Linked DNA regions of Rattus norvegicus. The protein of the gene in region 2 interacts with the protein of the main gene of each other region in a biochemical or structural test. Links are inferred from orthologs where the notes say so. Each region holds a gene or a part of one and is shown on either strand. Other genes may lie near its edges. The genes, in order: Foxm1, Cdk1 and Pbk.

Region 1 (7,409 bases), on a different chromosome or scaffold from region 2:
TTTCCAACTTGCAGGTCAGAGGACTTAGGTCTGGGGTCCACTTGTAGTCCTGATTCGACATAAGCCCACCGTGTTTCAGTGCATGTATAGAACAGCCAAAACTGTGGGACAAACGCTTTCAAAAGGCCCATGTGGACAAGTCTCAGACAACGGTCTCATCACTCAGTTTAAAAATTTGAGATAAAATTTTACAGGTCCAGCTGTATGTTTAAATATATAGTTTAATACAAATAAACTTCCTATAGGATTTACTTTGCTATTAATCTAACAGTGTATCTCCTAATAAAACTGTCATGCTAGGGGTTGGGGATTTAGCTCAGTGGTAGAGCGCTTGCCTAGGAAGCGCAAGGCCTTGGGTTCGGTCCCCAGCTCCAAAAAAAAGAACCAAAAAAAAAAAAAAAAACTGTCATGCTAATGATGCTACATTCAAGTTTGACTGTTGGGATGCCGCTTTAGTCCAAATGGCTGGGGCTGGAGAGATGGCTCAGTGGTTAAGAGCACTGTCTGCTCTTCCAGAGGTTCTGAGTTCAATTCCCAGCAACCACATGGTGGCTCACAACCATCTATAATGAGATGTGATGCCCTCTCTGGTAAGACAAGTACAGTGTACTCATATATAATAAATAAATCTTAAAAGAAAAAAAAAAAGTCCAAATGGCTTAGCTAAGAACCTTCATCATTTCCTGAATATTTACTAAGGGCCACTAAACCCAGGATATTAAACCCAGTGCTAGAGCCTTCGATGAGCCACAGATGGAGACAGTAAGAGGTCCCACACAGTAAAGTATCTCAGAAGTCACAGAGGTGGCTGTGCTGGCACACACAATCCTAGTTACTGAGGGGCCAAGGCAGGAGGGCCCAAGCAAGATATAGTCAGTCAGTCTTAGTGTGTCTGTCTCTGTCTCTCTCTTTCTCTCAACAGGGATTCTCTGTGTAGCTCTGGCTCTCTGGCTGTTACGGAACTCACTCTGTAGAGCAGGCCTGCCACTGCCTCCCTTAAAGGCCTGCACCACCACCACCAGCCTATACTGCTATAGTCACTCTCCAATACCTCCAAAAGAAGGACAATGTTTAAAAGAAACAGCACACAGAAAAGCCTTAGGTAGTGCTACTAGAACTTCCAAACAGTTCACCTTAACCCGATTCTGCTCCAGGTGACAATTCTCCTTCTCTTCCAGTTCCTGCTTAATGCTGCAGCGGCCCAGCCCATCAGAACTCATCTTTCCAAGCCACTGGATATTGGTTAAGCTGTTGTCCAGTGTGCAGCCGGCCGCTTCACCACCTGCTAGAGGGAAAACAACCCAAGACTCCATTAGCAGCCTCTTCAGATGCCCTACAGCTCTACCAAAACCAACGGTTGGGGATAACCCCTCTGAGACCTGTTCTAAGGGACAGGGAATACATGGTAAATCGTTGTGGCTCTAAGTTATTCTGCTCCATTATGGACTTCAGTAGACATTCATGAACAATAAATTGTATTTCAATGAGACAGATGGAACCTCAGGCATCTGTCAAGGCAAATTTTGGTAGCTACACAAAAAAGTCACTTTTCTTCCCTGGGCTTTGGTTTATTTCTTTAAAATGGAAATTTACTTCCTTACAAGTATGAATAAGAATGGCCCCCATATTTGAAATGAGGAGGATTAGGGTGTGTGGCATTGTCAGAGGAAGTCTATCGCTGAGGAAGCCCAGGGTCTGTGTCTCTAGGCCCAGGTCAGGATGTAGCTCTCAGCTGCTGCTCCAGTGTTCTCTGGCATGCTGCCATGCTTCCCACCATGTTGGTAACGGACTAAACCTCTGGAAGTATAAGCAAAGGTTGCTTTCTTTTCTAAGAGTTGCAGAATAGTCACTAAGACACATGTCAATACAAAGAATGAATCAACCAACCAACCCTTTTCCAACATAAAGAGAGCAACAGGAAAGCTACATTACTATAACCATTTCAACAGCTCTCAGGTGTTTCAATGCTCAAAGAATAAAGGAAGAAAAGGCCTTCTTCTTGGTTCCTCCTAGATTCCTGCCTACCACAGACATCAGTGTGACACACTGAAGACCTTTCCAGTGAGGAGAAAAGCCAACCTCCACACCCTTGCAGACCACATACCACAGCTCTCCTGTCTTTGCCTTGGAAGAGCTCCAGGTGGCTTGGGAACAGGCACACCCTTAGCCCCTGGCTTTGGTCCCAACGTCTCGGTGATCAGTTCTGTTCTCTTGGAATCAGTGCTGGTTTGGGCTTGAGATTGAGGATCAGGAGGATGAGATGAGGCCCCACCAGAGCTGATGAGGATGAACTTGTTGGGCCCACTGCTGCCACTCTCTTTCCCTTTGGCAGTCAGCGCTGTGATGATGCTCTGGATGTCCGCGTTGTTGGGGATAGCCACCACTTGTGTGTTGGGCATGGTTGGGTGGTTGATAATCTTGATTCCAGCTGGAAATTTGCAAGAGCTGGACTCTGCCACATCTTGGGAGGCCTGTGCTTGAGTAGGCTCCTGCTGTCCAGGGGATCTCTTTGCTTCTTCCTCTGAGGTTTCACTCGGGGCATTTTGAATAGGAAGGGGCAGCCTCCGTCTCTTGAGAATCAGTGGCCGCCGGGGGCTGGTTCTCATCATGAAGCTGTGCTTTCACTCTCCATCGAGAATCACAAGCTTTGACCCTGCAGAGGGCAAGGAGAAGCTTGCTATCAGATCTGCTGGGCTGAGACAAACTGGAAGTGTTCCTCTGCATGAACAGACAGAAGCAGAAGCTCAAAGGCCCAGGGGAATCCTGCCTGGACCTTTGTCCAACCCTCAGACAATAAGGACAGAAGCTAGGTTTGATGCACACTTGTGATCCCAGCACCTAGAAGGTTTAAGGTCACCCTTAGCCAGAGAGTGAATTCAAGGTCAGCATGGGCCACATGAGACCCTGTCTCAAAAACAAACGAGCAAACAAGAACAAACAAATAAAGCCCTATCACTGACCAAGGAAAGCTGAAAACTGCAGCAAACACTTCAAGATGGGAACATGGGACTGCACTGAAGTGCATGGTCCCCTGTAAGCTTAAGAATGTTTGGCCAGGCTGAGAATGTAGCTTAGTAATAGAGTGCTTGCTTAGCAAGGCCCTAAGTTCAGTTCCCAGTACTACAAAAAGGCAAACAAACTAGAAAGATTTGGGAGGGAGGGGAGGCTGGCAAGATGGCTCAATGACCGAAACCATCAGCTGCTAAGCCTGGCCACCTGCATTCAGTCCCCAGGACCACGATGGTGGGAAGAGAGAATCAGCTCCTGACTGTTACCCTCCAACCTCCATACATGTGCTGTGGCATGTGGGCAACCCTCCTCCCCAACCCCCGCCCCAGTAAAAATGCAAAAACCTCTTTTTGAATGTTTGGCCAGAGGAATACACATCTACAAGAATGTGGAAATACCAGCCACTGTCCACTAGAATGCAGGTCACTCTCGATGACTGTAGGGACGAATGAAAGACTCTACCCAAGCCATAGTCCTAGTGCCCTTTTCTTTCCGTCTCAAATAATGCAGCTGACCTACACGTCTGATTCTCCTGCCTCCACCTGCCAGAATCACAGGTGTGGCTACAATGCCAGGTTTAGGTAGTGGTAGGAATTGAACCTGGAGCTTTGTGAATGCTTGGTAAGCACACTACAATTAAAAACTCCAATCCTCTTGAATTAAAAATAATTTTTTTCAATAGTTGTCAATAACCACTGAGCCATCTCTCCAGTCCCATTCTTTCTTTCAAAATCTGCAAAGCATTTGCACAGTGACATTTTGGTACTTGAGAGTAACTATATTTTAGTTTTATAAGTATAATACTTGATTTTTCTGCTTCTAAAGACTGTAATACAGATCTTCTCCATACCAAAATGTGCTATCATTAATATGCTTAAGGTGGCTTTAATTTTTGAGATAGCGTCTCATGTAGCCCAGGCTGGTTTTGAACCACTGAGCCTTTGGCCCCCAATTTTCTAGGTGCTGAGATTACAGGCATTCACCACTATGCCTGGCTATGCTAAAGTCACTTTGAAATGCTAAGGAAGGAAGTCTTTAGAAAAAGCATTTCATAGGTTTTTATAGATAGATAGAATAATTTATCATTAAATTAAATCCTGCCACTCCATTTTGCAATCCTGCGAGAAAGGGAGAAACAGCCGGCACTTTAGGAAACCTTCCAAAAAGTAATTACACTTTTTTGACATTTGCCAGCTGCTTAGCCTTCTTAGGTCCCTTCCTCCCTGTAGCTTTCTCTCCTTTATACTTCGTTCTCTCGACCTTCAAATCTCAGTTCTCGTTTTGCTTCACACTGCACCCACCCCAATCAAATGGTAGACACCCCCCACCATAGGGTACCTCTCTCTTTGACCAGCCTTTTCCTAACACTCCCAAAATCTTCTAGCGCAAGGCGACTTGCAGAGCCATCCCCAAAGACCCCATTCTCCACACAGAACCGGGAACCTTGCAACGCTCAGCTAGGATCCCACCCTGCAGCTGTGGAGGCGGAGGCAGGGTTGACTGCAAGTGCAGACTCAGAGGGCAGGCCTGTTCCCAGGGTCCCGGGGTGCTCGGAGAACGCGGCGGGAAAGCCGAGGCCGGCGGCTCAGACTTTCTTCCTGGCGGTCCTCAACACCCCCTCGCGCCCCACAGCCCCGGCAGTCCCGACTCCAAGCCCTCCCCGGACCGGGTCGCACCCCACTCACCTCACAGGCCACCGCTGCTCCACGCGGGGCCGAGCCAGGCCAGGGCGGGCGGGTCCCGGCGGGACGGCCGGGGTGGGAACCCGGGGCGGGGTGGGGGGTGAGCCCGGGCCGGGGGTGGGTCCCGCAGCGCCGCTTTCAGTTGTTCCGCTGTTTGAAATTGGCGCCGGCGGAGCGTTGCGGTCACGTGACGGAGCGTCGCCAATCGGCACCGGCTTGTCTCCGGGTTCCGGCCCCGAACGCTCGGCGTCCTGAGGAGCGGCGGCCGCGGCCGGGAGGGCGGGTAAGGGGGCCCCGGAGCTCGAGGGACGGCGGGAGGGACGCGGGGACGCGCGGACCGCGGCCAGCAGCCTGCTCCGCCCCGCCCCGGACCGCCCTGCCTCCGTGGTCGACTTCCTTCCGGGGCAGCGTACGCCACTCCCCCGGTTAGCTACCCACTGGGCTACCTCTGGATCCACCGCGCGGCTCAGCCCTCGTTGCTGCGTGGGGTCCAGCTTGGGTTTCTGTCCCCAGACTTGCGGTTAAGTGCCCTACGCCCCGCCCCTGTCTGTGGCCGCCTCCACCTCGGGCCCAGCCCCGAGGTGTCCGGACGATCTTTTTTCCATACTTTACGAAAGAGTGGAAGGTACAGTGGCAGACCGGGCCGTCCTTCCCCTGGGCTCACCGGTGGTCTGATGGAGAGGGAGCCCAGAATGAGATGAACAGATCGGTAGAATTCTAGCTACAGAGGAACAGGTTAGAGGCCGGTGGGTTTTGTCTGACCCCGGGTATCCCCATGTGTAGAATTCTCGATTCTCGTGTTTCCGCCTTCGGAGTAGCCCGGGTCACTGGCTCGCCCTCCCGCAGCCGCCAGTGATAAATTTGAGTATTTATTTTAACGAGAAAATCTTGACTTAGGGCAGGAAAGCCTTTCTTTTTCCTTTCTTTCTTCCTCTCTTTTTCCTTCCTTCCTTCCTTCCTTCCTTCCTTCCTTCCTTCCTTCCTTCCTTCCTTCCTTCCTTCCTTATGAGCTGAGAACAAGGTGTAAGATCTGTCACCCATTACACAGAAGGGAAGGAAACATTGAAGCAGCTAGATTAAGAAGGGAGATGTTTGGGGCTGGGGATTTAGCTCAGTGGTAGAGCGCTTGCCTAGGAAGCACAAGGCCCTGGGTTCGGTCCCCAGCTCCGAAAAAAAGACCAAAAAAAAAAAAAAAAAGAAGGGAGATGTTTTGACTGGAGGAGGCTAGGCTGGTGAACACAAAGGCTGAAGGTCACAGGGATTTGAACTAAGACTTAGGGGGCGTGGTATGCTATGAGATGGGGAGCAGATAAAGACTGTGTTTGAGAGGTGAACAGGTTAGAGGCTGGTGGGTTTTCACTGACACCAGAATGTGGTGGCTCACGCCTTTAATCCCAGCACCCAGGAGGCAGAAGCAGGCGGATCTCTGTGAATTCCAGGCCAGCCAGGTATTCATAGCCAGCCCCAGGCTAGCCAAGGCTACATAGTAAGACTCTATCTCAAAATTAAAAAAAAAAAAAAAAGGCCAAGATTGTGCAAAACCTGACTTAGATTTTGTTTGGGTAAGTATATAAGAGCTTATCTAGATTAGACAGAGATGGGTGGGATATGGCCCAATTTCATGGGCTGTGGGCCTGGACTGACTAAAGAGAGAAAGCTAGCCGAGCAGGAGAGTTCATCTTCTTCCTGCCTGTTAAAGGGATGTGCCCAGCTGCTATGATTCCAGCAACAAAGGACTACCCTGGAACTGTGAACCAAAATAAGCCCCTCTTTCCTTCACTTGCCTTCCAGGGAATTTTATGATGGCAACAGAAAAAGCACCTAAAACAGTGGGGCATGCCTTGGGAACCAGCACTTGGGAGGTGGAGACTACACAGTGTATTTGAAGCCAGGCGAGGCTATGCAAGACCATGTCTCACAATAAGACGACTGGTATACAGCCGAGTGGTACCGTTATCGCCTAACACGCTGAGGCCTGAGGTTCAATCTGAAAACTGAAAGGAATGCATTTTTTTCAAAATCATGCAAGGGGAAAGATAGGGGAAACTAATAGATCATATATGGTCAGGATTGAACCAGCTGGGTACTAAGTACATGGGGCTCATCCCGTAACTCAGTTGACCCCTCTTTATGTTCTAGAGAATCTGTGGGCTGTTTTTTTTGTTGTTTGGTTGTTTGTTTGTCTTTTAACAAAACCTAGATGTGAGCCTAAGCTTCTATCTGAAATTCTGTAATGATTGATTACTCAACCCCCACCCCACTCTCATGTGGCCTCACTTGGTTTTCAGACTCAATGTTGACACCATGTTTAATATTATTTTTTTTGTCATTTATCCTTTAAAACTTTTATTAAAAACAGGGTCTCACTTTGTATCCCCCACTAGCAAGGAGCTCACTAAATAGATCAGGTTGACCTCCAGCTCAGAGAAATCTGCTCCTGAATGCTGGGATTTGAGATGGATGTTACCACCTCACCTACACCTAGCCTCTTTTCCTTTTTTATTTTGTTAGCTAGATAGTCACATCCTCATAGATAGTGACATTGTGTGTGAGGACACATGCCTGTGAGGACACACATGCCACACATGTGGATGTCAAAGGACATCTTTTGGGAATTAGTTTCGGCCTTCCGAGTTCTTGTGAGTTCTGGAGAACACACTCAAGCCCTTGGTTTTTGAGGCAAGTTCTTTTACTGCTGAGCTATCTTTCACTCAGTCT
Region 2 (7,309 bases):
AAGGCCCTGGGTTCGGTCCCCAGCTCCAAAAAAGAGGGAAAAAAAAAAAAAAGCTAAGCCAAGCCAAAGTGGGTGGGACCCAGTTGATTAGTGATTTAGAACTAATTAGTTTATTTATCAAAATAGTGAATCTGGGGCTGGGGATTTAGCTCAGTGGTAGAGCACTTACCTAGGAAGCGCGAGGCCCTGGGTTCGGTCCCCAGCTCCGAAAAAAAAGAACCAAAAAAAAAAAAAAAAAAAAAAATAGTGAATCTACGACCTCTGTGACCAATGAGGTCAGCAGCAGTTACGGCCATCAAACTGTCATGGTAATAAACTGTGAAAAAAATAAAATGGAATAGACAAGACAGAGGCCACCCCAGTACAGTGGGTGGAGAGCTTCCCTATCACGCAGCATGTGCAGGACCAGAGCCCTGCACAGCCTTGAGCAGGCACGGCAGGGCACACGTCTGTGCAGTTTTAGCACCCAGGAAGCAGGCAGGCCGGAAGCAGGTAGCTACCCAGTCAATGAGGCCGGTTAAGGCTACAGAGAACTCTGCCTCAAAAACCCAAGGACACAAGGAGGGACCGACCCTCTAACTCCAGGTTCACAACTCCCCGGGCGCCAATGTTCCTAAGTCAACGCCCTTCCAGAAATACCAGAGAAACCCAGTCTGGTGGTGTGGACCTACAATCCCAGCTACTGGGAAGGCCAGTGCAGGAGTCCCAAGGCCAAAGTCTATCCACTCCAGTGACCTCAGGGCCAGCCGGGGCAAGTCAGTGAGACTTTCTCAAAACAAGGAGCAGGAACACAGTTCAGGGGGCAGAGTGTGTGAGGCCTGTGGATCAAACCCCACTACAGAGGAAATAATAAAACAGAGCAATCATATGAGATGCCAGCCATCAAGATCCCACTGACAAAGCTTGATGACAGGCCAAGGGCACAGCTCAGTGACAGAACATCCGGGCAGCACAGGCTGGGGTTCGGTCCCCAGTGCTCCCTCCGCTAGCACTAATTGGCTCCTAAATCTAATCACAGTACCTCAGACAGCAAAACCTGCTTTTTAATTGATCTGAATGACCACAGCAGGGTCCAATCAGGAGGGAGCACAGGTCTGGGAAAGGTCAATACAGAGAAATGAGAACTCCCAAAAACTACAATAAACCCCTTCCCTGAGGCTGAGGCAGCAATCAATCTCCCCTGACAAACGATGCCAAAGATTCCATCTCTATAGTCCACATAAACGAGAGCGGATTGATAATAAAAAAAAGCAATAAACTGATACTACAGAACTTTTTTTTTGGTCTTCTGAGACATAGTTTCTTTGTGTAGGCCTGACTATGCCCTGTAGACCAGGCTGGCCTTGAACTCAAAGAGATTCTCCTGCCTCTGCCTCTGCCTCTGCTGGGATTAAATAAAGGTGTGCACTACCACTGCTTAGCTGCAGACACTTTTTTCAACCAAGTATTTCTTTCTTGGCTTAAAGACCAGAGGCAGCACTCCAGCAACCACAATCTCAGGGCTTTGCTCACCTCGTGTGTGTACACTCTTATCGGTATTCCAAACGCTCTGGCAAGGCCGAAATCTGCCAGTTTGATTGTTCCTTTGTCATCAATCAATAGATTTTGAGGTTTCAAGTCTCTGTGAAGAACTCGTCGGGAGTGACAAAACACAATCCCCTGGAGGATTTGGTACAAGTAACTCTAGAAAAGAAACAAGCAAGTCGGAAACTTGATCATTCTACAAGATTCCTAGAGGAAAAAGTTCTGAAAAAAATAAATTATGACGCAGAGATAGCTATCACAAGACATTTTAGGCCTCTTTAGACTAACATAAAACAGGCAGACAGGAAACCTGTTTACACATGCAGTGTGCGTGTTATCAAAAGATGTATCCCACAGGAGCATTTAAAATTTTGTTCCCTGTCTTTAAGTCAAAAGTTAGCTTTCTGTGCAGAAGTTTCCTCAACACACTCGTGTCAACTGCTTCTATCCTAAATAAAATTTTTCCCCCCATTTCTGTCACTTACACATGCATTTCCTCTTTGGAGACAACAGAGAAATATGTAAAACAGTTTAAACTGGGCCTTTGTAAAAGTTTATTGATAACCTAATTCTCTAATGTGTGCACAAGCGCACACACACACTGCTCACTATCCTATGTGTGTATGAGCTCACACCCATGTAGGTACCCAGGTCACAGGTGGAAATCAGCGTCTTCCTCTATTGCTTCCACCTTTGTTTTTGAGATAATATTTCTCATTAAACCTGAAGCTCACCATTTTAGCCAAGCTGGCTGGCCAGTAGTCCCTGAGACACAACAGAGCCACTCCCCCCTGTCCCTGCCTCTGTCCTTCCCACTCTGGGCTTCTAGATGATAGAGGCTCAGCTCCTCACGCTTGTACCATGAGCATTTTCCCAGGAGATCCCCCCAAGCCCTCTACTCTTAAAGCAAAAGGAATCTCAAAGAAAAGTTAGGAGGTAGGAGAGGGCAGGAAAATACTGGCATTATTCTAATACATGTGATCTTATATATTATGCCTTCAACAAAACAAGGTCCAAAAAAACCCATTAAGAATATTGTGCTGGGCAGTTTTATGTCAACTTAACACAAGCTAGTTATTGGAGAGGGAGCTTCAATTGAGAAAATGCCTCCAGGAGATTAGGTTGTACCGCCTGTAAGGCATTTTCTTAGTGATTAATGGGAGAGGGCCCAGCTCACCATGGGTGGTGCCATCCCTGGGCTGGTGGTCCTGGGTTCTATAAGAAATAAGTCTGAACAAGCCATGGGGAGCAAGCCAGTAGGCAGCACCCCTCCATGGCCTCTGCATCAGCTCCTGCCTCCAGGATCCTGTCTTGCTTGAGCTCCTATCCTGACTTCCTTCTGAGACCCTTTCTTCCCCAAGTTGCTATGGCCAATAGCCTTCATCACAGCCAACACTGAGCCCGACTAAGTCATACACAGTGTAAGCACCAGCAATGGTTGGCACCACTAGCAAATCACCGTGTGTCAGTAAAATGACCTTTGAACTCGCTGACCCACATCCTCATACAGAAAGTTGAGCGATATGTTCAGGCAGGGTGTGCATAAATGAGTAGACACAGTATATAAATGTCAAATAGAGTAACTGTAACAAAGCCCTTCACATAATATACTGAGACTATTTAAAAGATACATATGGTGAGTCTTGGTAACAATGTAATAAATAATTGACTTTTAGAGGCCATATGGCCCTGTTCAGCAAGATCTTAAATATAAGCACTTATTTTATCCTAGTTCCAAGGATTTATCTCTAAAATCACATAAAGTGGTGGGCTTGGTGGCCCATGCCTGTAATCTCCATCCCTGGGAGAAAAAGGTTGGAGGGTTAGGCAGCCTGGGCTACAGAAAGAACCCCCAGCGCTCCTGAGGATTCACGAAGAACAGCCATCACTAAAGGAGGAAGTAACAAGTGGAAATGGCGTAGTAACTGTGAAAATGATTAAACCATTACAAAACAGAGACATGAGAGGGCTAACTCGTGTGCAGCACACATAACAACCCCACTGTGGTCGGACGCATATACAAAGCCAACATGAAAAGTCTCAAGGCATGGACACAGCTCAGGGGAGAATAAAGCTGCTTTAAGGTTAAGACTCCTTTACTACAGACATTTAAAGCCTGCACACATTTGCTGAGAAAGGCGCTTGCCCAGTTATGCACAATGCCCTGGATCAAATACCCAGTCCCCCACACAAAGAGTAATACATACATTTATTTTTTTTCTTTTTTTCGGAGCTGGGGACTGAACCCAGGGCCACTGAGCTAAATCCCCAACTCCAATACATACATTTATATTTTAACTGAAATAAAATGTTTACATCAACCAAAGCGTATTTTTCACAGAGTAAGATCACCTAGCATCAGCGCTAGGTTCAGGCTGGTGTCACTGATCTGCACGGAACTGCTGCAGCCTTGTCCTGCCCCCAGCAATGTAATATATAGTCCATAGGGTAGCACGTCTAGAACTGTCTGGAAATAAGACAGGCAAAGGATGACGTCATCCGGGCGGAAGGAAGGAAGAGGCTTTCTATTTTCTTACAGGTTTTCTAAGATCCAGCCACAAAACACAAGGATGGAGTCTACACTCAGAGGGCATTTAAGTATTAATAAAAGTACACAACTCTTTACCTTAACGAGCGAAGAATCCATGAACTGGCCAGGAGGGATAGAGTCCAGGTACTTCTTGAGATCCATGGACAGGAACTCGAAGATGAGATACAGCCTGGAGTCCTGCATGAGTACATCCTGCAGGCTGAGCAGAGCATGGCGTGAGTGCAGCAAGCAGCCCTGCCTGCCTCGGCTTCCACACACACAAGTGCTGAACAGAACTCGAGGAAGGAAGTTCAGGACAGTAACCTACAGCTCCCTGTGCAGAAGGAGCTGGCTCACGCCTCCTGCACTCCCAAAGCTGGATGCTTGTGGACATTAAAGTTGAACCCAACTTCAATAGCTGCTCCCTAGGCCCAGCCCCAGTACAATAGTTAGTACCCAGGCCAGGGGCAGAGGCCTGTCACCGCGGCTACCAGAGGCAGACGCTGAAGAGGCTAAGGCTGAGGGCCTCTAAATTCAGAGGCTGCCTGGGGTGGAAAGAACCCAAGGCAACCTGGGTAATTCTGTGAGAGGGGTGGAGGTGTGTGGTGGATTAAACCCCTATTCCCGGCACTAGGGAGTTAGAGGACAGCAGTAAATTCCAGGCCAATCTAGGTGAGCTACAGTAAAATCCTGTCTCAAAAATTCAAAACCCCAAATTAAGAGGCCAGAGGCTACAGCTCAGTGGTAGAGAGCTTTCTTAGCATGCCCCAAGCCTTGGGTGCAGTCCCTCTTGCCAACAGAAACTCCAATGAACCACTAGACAGCTTCCTCAAAGACCCAGCCCAAATGAGTCAACAGAACATAGGATACCTCATGCCCCAACCTAGCTACTTGTCTTAGGAGCCTCTGGGGACTTAGAGGCCTTTGTGGACCAGGGCCCTAAAAGTAGGAGCTGACCAAGCTTCTCGTGGAAGGGGTCTCGCGGCTGCACCTTACTCCTCCAGCCAACTCTAGCATCATGTCTCAGATTCTCCAAACATCTGGTTCTCTTTACCTCCTCCTGGCACCACAATCAACAAGCAAGCAGGACTCCATCCCACTGGAACCAGAAACTGCGGAAAACTTTCCACATTAAAATGGATTTGCAGCAGCCCCGGGGAGAATGGGTTCAATTCCAACACAGCACACCTGACTATATTTGGATGTCGAAGTTCTTTTAACAGAGAGATTTCCCGGATTGCCGTACTGGGCACTCCTTCTTCCTCGCTTTCAAGTCTGATTTTCTTCATGGCCACGATCTGGCCAGTAGTCCTGTGTCTACCTTTATATACCACACCATAAGTCCCTGAAATAAAGCGGAAAGATTCTTTTAAAGTTGAGCTCTTTGAGGGGCCCAGGAGAGAAATGCTGGCTGCGGTCAGATAGGTCACCTCACACATATTAACTACTTTCAAAAAGGAAATGAAGATGACTACACGCAAACACACACATGGTTTAGAGATAAAAGTCACTGAGTCACCCTAAGTCTCCCAGGTAAGCTTGCTTCACAACCCAGCACAGGAACATGGATCTCCTACGAGTTGCAATTCACCGATCAAACATCCTGCTATGTAGTTAAACGCTACATAAACTTAAGACTGGGAAACAGTACCGAGAGGGGCTCTGTGAGACTTTCACAAAACTGTACTGACTTAGGGTTCCCTTGATACTTTTACAACACATATCTCAAAATGCAGTCAACACTCCTCACCCAGCAGAGTGGAGACAGAAACACCGCACATTTTTATTAAACCCAATAAAGCTGCTATCATCTACCAGAGGAGGAAGCTTCCTAAGCTCTGGGAATGTGGAAAACACAAGTGTCACAGGAACAGCAATGGCAGTAAGAAGAGACACTGGGGTGCGGCAGACACATCGAGGTGGGCTATCAGCTCTCTCACACCCATGCTAGTCTCTAGGCACTGAAGGCCCTCGCTGTAAAGCCTTTGTTGAAAAGCTTCTCATGACATCGGTGTCACTTCAGCATTGACCCTAACCCCAGGCCTGGTGCCACAGAGCTGTACTCACAGCAGAGCTATCCACACAGCTATCCTCAAGCTGCTTGTAAGACTCAGGAAGGAGGATTCCAGGTTGGAGACAAGCTTCTCTACAGCCTTTACTCGCTCTAAGAATCCAGCCCAGTGGCCAATGCTTACAACAGCAAGCAGCTTGCTGTCCCCGGAAGCTCTGTTCCGCCATCCCTTAAATTCCAGGACAGTGTGTTTTCCTAAACACCAGTTAGTTTAATAATATTACTTCAAATAAAATCCTTACTGTTTTGACCAAATGCTAGGTTGATTAAATAACCATGCAATTCCAGATAAAAAGAACTGACAACATTCTGTCTGCAGAGCTCACGTGTTCCTTAATGGTGGAAACCATGCTTGTCTGACAGGCACAAGCAGCTAAGCCATTAGCAAGATGATTTTATCAAAGAAGTCAATTAGTAAGGTATCTAAAAGATCAAATAAGTTAACAGTGAATTCAGGATTCCTTCTGACATCTTGGTTCCTCCCGGTGCCCTACTGCGTTCTTGACTAATGTGCAGAGCCACGATTGGCAGCCACCACCCAGTAACTGTTGATTCTTAGACAACACAGACCTGCTTGTCTCTCAACTCCTGGCTCTTCTCAAGGAACTACCGAAACAGGGCTAAGGAAAGCACACTATTCACAAGCTAAACTAAATGCTCTGAAATTAAATATTCAGATTCTGAAGTATTTTAAGTTAACAAGGCCGGAGAGATGGCTCAGGGTTTAGACCACACTGCCCTTGCAAAGGACCAATACCCACACGAGGCTCACAGCCTCCTGTAAATCCAATTCCAGAAGAGGCGACATCTCTGGCCTCCATGGGCTATGCACACCTGTACAAATGCACACACCCACACACTGAATTTTAAAACGTGTCAGACAAGTAAAAGCAAGGATAAGATCTTAGTTATCCTGTGGTAGACGCTTGATAACACTGCTTGGAAAAATCCATTAAACCTCATCAAAAACAAATGTTTCTGGAGTGCTTACTAAACGCCAACGAAGGTCCCACCAACCATGTGTAGCCAGGCAACTGTGTAATCTGAAGACTGCCGCCCGGCATGGTGACCAACAATAATACCCAGGTGACTACGGAAGAAAACACTGACACGGGAAAAACACGTTACAACTCATTCACAGGTTTGACCAGGTACTTGGCAGAAGAAAATGTAGACAGTTATTA
Region 3 (7,309 bases), on a different chromosome or scaffold from region 2:
AATTGGTTCATCTTTAGTCTAATTTGCCTGTAATCCTTCCAAAAATAGTGAGAAAGTGTTAAAATTATAACATTTTAATGCTATTTTCTGCACAAAATCTTAAATGTTTATTATATTTTATTACCATTCCATTGTTCAGTGACTTGTGAGAAGCCAATCACAGTTGTTCTAATTATTGCTAGTGTGCATGTGTGTCATGCATGCATTTCAAGGTGCCTCCATGGAGTTAGAGAACAACCCTTGGGAGTTACTTCTCCCCTACCATAGCTTCCAAGGATCCAAGTCAGATAGCCAGGCTTTTGCAAGTACCACATATAGTAATAATTTGAGTCCATACCAAAAAATGAATTGTGGACAACAGTTAAGTCCTAAGGCAGACTGCGCATTAGAGTATAGCAATGGAAAGGAGGAAAATGAGCATCACACTAGCAGGTACCCTGCTGACAATAGCAACAGCCAGTGCTACTGTGTTGAGATTTGGTTTGCTACATCAGAAAGGTATTTACCTTTCTCAAGTATAATTCCATGTGAACATGAACTAAACCTCAAGACAAGTCCCAGTTGTACAAAATATATAACCACCATACCCTAAGACTCAAAAGCAATGAAAAACAAAAGTTTGAAATTTAGTCAAAGGGTCATGACATCCTGAAGTGTGGCATTTGAATGGGATCTTGGAACAGAAAAAGTCACTGAACAGTACATCTGAATAAAGTATGGAGTTGAATTGCATTTCAGTACTGGTTTATTGTGACAGGTACAGTGATATAAAGTGATATGTGAAAAATGGGGTGTCTACAGGGAATATCTCTCAAAGTGCCAGTGTATATGTTTGAGCCAATTCATGCTTTATGGCCAGTAAGTAGAACCTGTCACTTGGGCAAACCTATTTAAAATGACACATCAGAGAAGGAGCAGATAAGGCTGAGTCCCTGTGTGCACACTTTAACAATTTTTCCATAAGTAAATTTTCAGTTTGATGTCACTTTCCTACTGTTTAGATGAACAATATGCTAATTAGTGATCTGTTTGGTATACTCCTAAGAGGAACCTACCAGGAAATTCTAGAAATTAATGCTTCCTATTTGTTGCCAAGGTAGAGAACTAAATGGTGAAACCAGGTGGTGTAAGTTCTGGTAACTGCAAGGAGCTATGACTCAAAACAATTGACACAATTTAACCTCACTTTATACATAAGAAAACAAGGTTGAGAGAAAGAAGTCACATTCACTCCACAAATCTAATGGTTAACACATCAACAAAAACAGAAGATAATGCTGAGATGCCTGGTACTAAAACTGTTTTTATTGTTTATTCTTACATAGCTTTTAGAAGACTTCGTATACAGTCAGTAAAAACAAAGTAAATTAGATGCTAAGGAGTGGAGAGAGGCAAGACAGTAACCAGGGTCTGAAACATTCTAGGGGCTATGCTTCTGCACCAAGCTCTTAAGCTTCAGGGCACATGGGCCAACAGGCCAACTAAAAGGTGGACACTATGAGCAGACAATTAACTGTACTGTGTGTATAGTGAAATTTTTAGTAACCCATTAAAGAAGCAAGAATATCTAAAACGGTCTTTAACAAAGCAATGGTCCCTTGATTCTAAGTCATCTTAGAACAGAGGTCACTAGTGTTTAAATCAGTAGGGGCAGCAGCATCTAGATACCTGGAGAGTTTTTTAAACTTCAAAGACTATCCAGTACAATAAATGCATATATAGGAAATAACATGTCAGAAGGTTATACAATTATTAACTATGTACAATGGTCTTAAAATAAGCTACTTCTAGAATCTAGCTACTATAAGTTATATTAGCTAAATAAATACATCTAGTTAACAGTTCCCATACAAGCTATGCTTCGAGCTTAGACCACAACATTGGCCATCTAGTTCCAAAGCTTCAACGATGTGTGCAGCAGATGGGCGATCTTTAGGATCCTCATTAGTACACACACAGAAGAGTTCAATGACCTTCTGGTAGGATTCATCCAGTTCTTCCATATTGATGGATGGTCTTGTCCCCAGAGCTGCATAGTAAGCTTCATCATCGAAGTCACTCTCATCAAATGTTGCATCTGCACATGAGGGAGGTAAGAGATGAAAACAAGCAAAATCAAGTTGGTCATGGAATAGCTCAATGATTTACCCTCCTGCAAGGAGGGGGTTATCCAGTACACATTCCCCTATATACCACAGGCTGTCTGTCCAAATCTCCTGCCACAGAGTTTAGCTATTTTCTCTCCAAAATGTTAAACTATTCAACTAGATACCCCCACCCACCTAATGTAAAACTGTTTAAGAAAAAATAAGAACCCATGAGTGGGGAGAGGAATACCCTTATCTTCCTATTATCAGTCTATCTCATTTATATAGGATTAAATCTAGCCAATCACAGTATTGCTATAATCTTAACTCTAAATTTTGATTTAGCAGAAAGACAATTGTATGCACTAATCTACTAGAAGGAATTCAGATTTATGTTAAAACCTATTTGTGGTTATACCTTCATCATCATCATCATCTGGAAGGTTGATGTGTGGAATACATAAAGTCATCATTTCCCAAAGAGTAAGGCCAAAAGCAAACATATCTGCCTTGTCAGTAATAATGCCATTTTCCTCCAATGCTTCTTTGGGTTTCCATGGCTCAGTACCAATATAACAGGCCTCAGGATCAGTCACTAAAACAAAATGCAAGTAGAATAGTCATGAGAGCAACCAACAAAACAACACAAGCAAAACCCATTTGGGGAGTTCAGAGGTTAATCACTATATTCAACCTCACTATAAAGAATCTGTCTCTATCAGACTGGCAAGTATTAAAAAATCTCATCAGTTGGTGGGAATGTAAGAAAACAGTTCAACCAGGTAGTGGTGGTTCGAGCCTGTGATTCCAGCACTCAAGAGGAAGAGGCAGGGGGCTGGGGATTTAGCTCAGTGGTAGAGCGCTTACCTAGGAAGCGCAAGGCCCGGGGTTCGGTCCCCAGCTCCGAAAAAAAAAAAAGAACCAAAAAAAAAAAAAAAAAAGAGGAAGAGGCAGGTTGATCTCAAGGCCAGCCCAAAGCTACACAAATAAACCGTCTCAATTAACCGGTGATAGAAATATAAAGAGTACAGATGCACGCCTTGCTTGGCCTGTGTGACACTGCAGGCACTTCAAGTCTGGGCCCTGGGTCTTCTGCAAGCAGCAGAGTCGGAGTTCGAGAGACGAATGACACTTCAGTGCTTCCAGGTGTGCTATGCCACATTAACAGTTTTCTAATACAGAGACCTTTCTCCATCTAGTTCCCTCCTAATGATGCTTTAGGGCTTCCAGATTAGAGACTTAAACTTATATGGATTTATTCATTTTTTTTAATTCTCAGATTTTTAAATATCTTGGGATTTTATACATGGAATTTTTAAGTTTTCATTCTATTATTTTACTAATATATAGGAATATAATTGGTAACTTCAGTCATTCTAGTACCACTTTTCTTCTAAAATCAACCATGTAAAAGTCTTTATAGGATTGTCTCTTTACTAGACAGAGATTTTTGGCCTTCCTAGTTCTTTTGATAATATATTTTTCTAGGAAATAATCATTTTCATCTATGCTCACAACTTGGTGGAATACAGCTATCTGTAGCCATCCTTACAAATGTGTGGAGCATGCAGCTGAGACCCTCTTCATGCCTAGTATCTCTCTCTTCTCAATCTTGGTGAGAATTTTTATTTTCCCAAGGATCCAGCTTTTGGTTTTATTACTAACATTTTTCAGGATTTGTTTTTCTTGACTTCTGTTCCTGTCCTTATTTCTTTCACAGACTCTGCTCTTCCTTTCCTGGCTGACAAAGAAATGAAGCCAGTGGGGGCAAGTTTTGTCTTTTTTTAACATAATCACTAATAGCTACTAGTGTTTATGAATCAATTCTCTGTGATCTAAATACCGTTCTATAATTACATAAATTTACATTGTTCAAGTTCCAAATATCCAAGGCTCTCCTGGATATTTTGTTTGTAGTTTCTAATTTAATTCCTTTTTCTGGTAAAGTATTATACCTAAGATATCTTCCTTAAGGCAGAATTTGCTTTACAAGTTTAAAAACTATTCTGTAACTAAGATAAGTCAAATTCACTGGATAGTTTTAAAGTGTATTAATTTTTCAGTATTTCATTACTATAATCTCCATTTTCACACAAATAAGGATACAATTGAAAACAAAATGCTTTTAACTCATTCCAAACAGGAGAGAAAAACAAGCAGTTTAATCAAAGCTAATCTTAAATTCTATTTTGAGGCTTTCAATAAAATTACAAGTAAAGAAAGAAACATTTGAAGAGAAAAGGGAAGATGGAATAGTTGATCCTATTTAGCATGATTAAATAAGAATGCCCAGGAGCTGGGGAAGCTCTAACCTAGTGGGCACGTCTTGCCTATAGTTGTTCAGTTACAATCCAGGCTATTAGGGCCAGTGTGGCCACAGGCTGAAGGCTGGGAGGCCTGTGAGCCCAAGGCCATCCTCAACTGACGTATTTAAACAAATCAAAAACAAAAAATTACTACCAAGAAGTCAGTAAGTGTTCATGTGGCAAGGGAAGGAGCAAAGACACTCTATTATACACTTTTGAGAAAGTTAATTTTAAACCATGTAGGTTTATTATGTTTACAATGCAAAGTTGTATGAATTTAAAACAGTGCTGCTTACCAGTCATATTTTCATCCAATGGCAGAGAGACTCCTACATCACAGATTTTAATTGTTTCAAAGTCACCTTTAATTACAACATTTGAAGACTTTATGTCTCCATGCAGCAGCTTCTTTTCCTGATGCAGATACTAAAATTGGAAAAAGCAATCCAATACATTAGTAGAAAAATGAATAAAAACTCTTAAAACAATGGCTTTGTAACTAGACTTGTCCAAGTATTTGAAGCCAGGAAGGGAACATGCCACGTCCTCTAAAAATTTTCTTAAAGATGTTTGAATTCTCAAAGCCCAGATAATTTTCTATCCAGAAGATTTCCAAACACCAGATTCACTTGAGGCCGGCCAGTAGTTCTAGACTTAATTTCAGAATCTTCACAACTTACCTCAACTTTGATATAATACAAGAAAAGCAGGTGAGATGGGGCCACCATAATTCATAAGCAGAAGCAAAAATGTAATGCAAAGCTATATTATGTTTTATACATTAACTTCTTGGGTTGCAAACAATTATAGTCACATTTTGAACAGTGCTGCACAATGGCTGTCTGTTCATTTGGCAGCATTTGAGTACTACACTGTGAGCCTAACTGTGAAATGAGAGGCCATTCTTGCTGTGATCTGCCTTATTTCAAATGCAGCCTATCATGTGGTGAAGAGGCCCCAACATGGTTACACTGTCATTTATTCATTTCCTTATATATACATACTTCAAGTCATGAGTCAGTGAGTAATTCGGATGCTGCTATCCTTTGGCTGTCATGGAACTCACCCTGCTGACCTTGAACTCCCTGGCCTTGAGATCCACCTGCCTCTGCCTCCCAAATGCTGGAAATTAAAGGTGTGTATCACCACGCCAGCTCTATCTTATCTAAAGTTATCTAAAAATGTACTAAAAATTATAATTAAAATGTTTTTTCTCAATCTGCTCCAAAAACCAATTTCCTATGAAACCTTAACATGTAACCCTAACATCTCTATTATTACACTGCAAGTAGTTCTCTAGAGTCACTATTACCAGTATTTAATATAATCCCCCCAACCCCCAGAGAGAATTTCTCTGTAGCCATTTCCTCAAAACTCTGCCTCCTGCCTGCTGGGATTAAAGGCATGTGCCACCAGTGCCCAGCTATGTATCCATTTCTTTTCTTCCCTTATCTTCTACCTATCCAAAAGCACAGCAAACAAAATAGGTACAACACATGTTCATTTCTTCATAGTTCACCAAAGCTGTTTAAAATCCAGTGAAATAGTTACCTTTAGCCCTCTTGCCATGTGCAAAGCAACTCTGAGAATTACAGCTGCTGGAAAAGGACTTCCACTGTCTTTGTTCCGCTCTTCTATTAAGTCATTCAGAGACTTTTCACCTCCATACTCCATAGCAAGGCACAGACTACCATCACTGGCTTCAGTAAAAGCACGATAGCCTTAAGAAAAAATAACATTTCTCTATTAAACTCTTCATAATGTAACATGTACCTGGACTATCACAGTGAAGCAGCTACTGTTTACAAAGCCCAGAGGCATAATTCAGATGCCTTCGGGTGTGTCTAGCAGCACAGATCAAAATACTTTACTATGCTTCTGTAAACAATGATTCCACCAGCCTCATTAGTATCAAAAATGCAAAGTGGAAACAGCACAAGAATCCATCTAAATGAACATGAATGGTCTACATGAAGACCATTCTACATCCCAGAAATCTCAGAACCAGCACTAAAACAACTACTTCCAACCCAACTCCATGAAGGTTAAATACAAATACTTAAAGATCTAAAATATGTGCATTTTAAATATTTTTTTATTTATTTTATATTTTGCCTGCATGTTTATATGTGCACCACATGCATGCCTGAACTGAACCTGAGTCCTCGGCAAGCATGATAGGTTCTCTTACCTACTGATCCATCTCTCCAGCCCCTTATGTGAACTCACATTAACTTTTCCCCAACAACGTGTAGACCCAACATTATTAGCAAAACCAGATACTATACAGAACATTGCTTACCACATATTGCCACAAAGTAAATGTAGACTTACCTACAATGTTTGGGTGATTAAGGTTTTTTAAAATCTTAGCTTCATCAGTTAGTCTCTTCTGATACACAGTTCGATAATGATCATCGCATAAAGGATTTATCTTTTTCACAGCCCAAGGAGAATGGGACAACCCTCTCGGAGATCTAAAACATACATATGTAAACTTAGTGATACAAAACAAATAAGAAACACCAACACTCAAATTTTGCTCCATAGAAATAGGTTTTTAAAAGTATTTCTTTAGCTGGTCAGCACTTGTTACATTTCTGCTTCGAGTAAATCAGTGTCAACATTTAATCAGAACCTGATAAGATATCTATGCTCTGAGAAGGGATTAAAGGACAAAAATAAGGATGGACTGTTAGGAACTTATCAAAGTACAATTAAACTTTAGAACTGCTACACTATTTTCTAACATTTCTATCCTGGCATGTCAGCCTACTATTTAATCAATGTTTATCAATATGTATCAGAGATGATTTATGACATGCTTTAATTAATATTGAAAATTTAGAGTTTCTATATAATAGAATTCTATTCTTTTATTATAATTTGAAATTTCACACATATTTGTTTTGATCA

What was found.
Region 1: of the proteins of Cdk1 (region 2) and Foxm1, one has a biochemical effect on the other in vitro, tested with the Homo sapiens proteins (2 studies listed by BioGRID). The link is inferred for Rattus norvegicus from reciprocal best matches to the Homo sapiens genes CDK1 and FOXM1.
Region 3: the proteins of Cdk1 (region 2) and Pbk form a complex in vitro, tested with the Homo sapiens proteins (2 studies listed by BioGRID and IntAct, with this or other methods). The link is inferred for Rattus norvegicus from reciprocal best matches to the Homo sapiens genes CDK1 and PBK.

The regions. Positions count from the first base shown.
Region 1 is NC_086022.1:163,323,075-163,330,483, reverse strand, and holds the start of Foxm1 (forkhead box protein M1), read right to left. Parts: upstream 4,857-7,409; 5' UTR 4,695-4,856; intron 2,654-4,694; 5' UTR 2,610-2,653; coding exon 2,105-2,609; intron 1,286-2,104; coding exon 1,134-1,285; intron 1-1,133. UniProt on the Homo sapiens protein: Transcription factor regulating the expression of cell cycle genes essential for DNA replication and mitosis. Plays a role in the control of cell proliferation. Also plays a role in DNA break repair, participating in the DNA damage checkpoint response.
Region 2 is NC_086038.1:19,269,796-19,277,104, reverse strand, and holds part of Cdk1 (cyclin-dependent kinase 1), read right to left. Parts: intron 5,400-7,309; coding exon 5,243-5,399; intron 4,275-5,242; coding exon 4,151-4,274; intron 1,684-4,150; coding exon 1,513-1,683; intron 1-1,512. UniProt on the Homo sapiens protein: Plays a key role in the control of the eukaryotic cell cycle by modulating the centrosome cycle as well as mitotic onset; promotes G2-M transition via association with multiple interphase cyclins.
Region 3 is NC_086033.1:44,203,547-44,210,855, reverse strand, and holds the end of Pbk (lymphokine-activated killer T-cell-originated protein kinase), read right to left. Parts: intron 6,871-7,309; coding exon 6,728-6,870; intron 6,115-6,727; coding exon 5,945-6,114; intron 4,820-5,944; coding exon 4,690-4,819; intron 2,683-4,689; coding exon 2,506-2,682; intron 2,078-2,505; coding exon 1,836-2,077; 3' UTR 1,286-1,835; downstream 1-1,285. UniProt on the Homo sapiens protein: Phosphorylates MAP kinase p38. Seems to be active only in mitosis. May also play a role in the activation of lymphoid cells.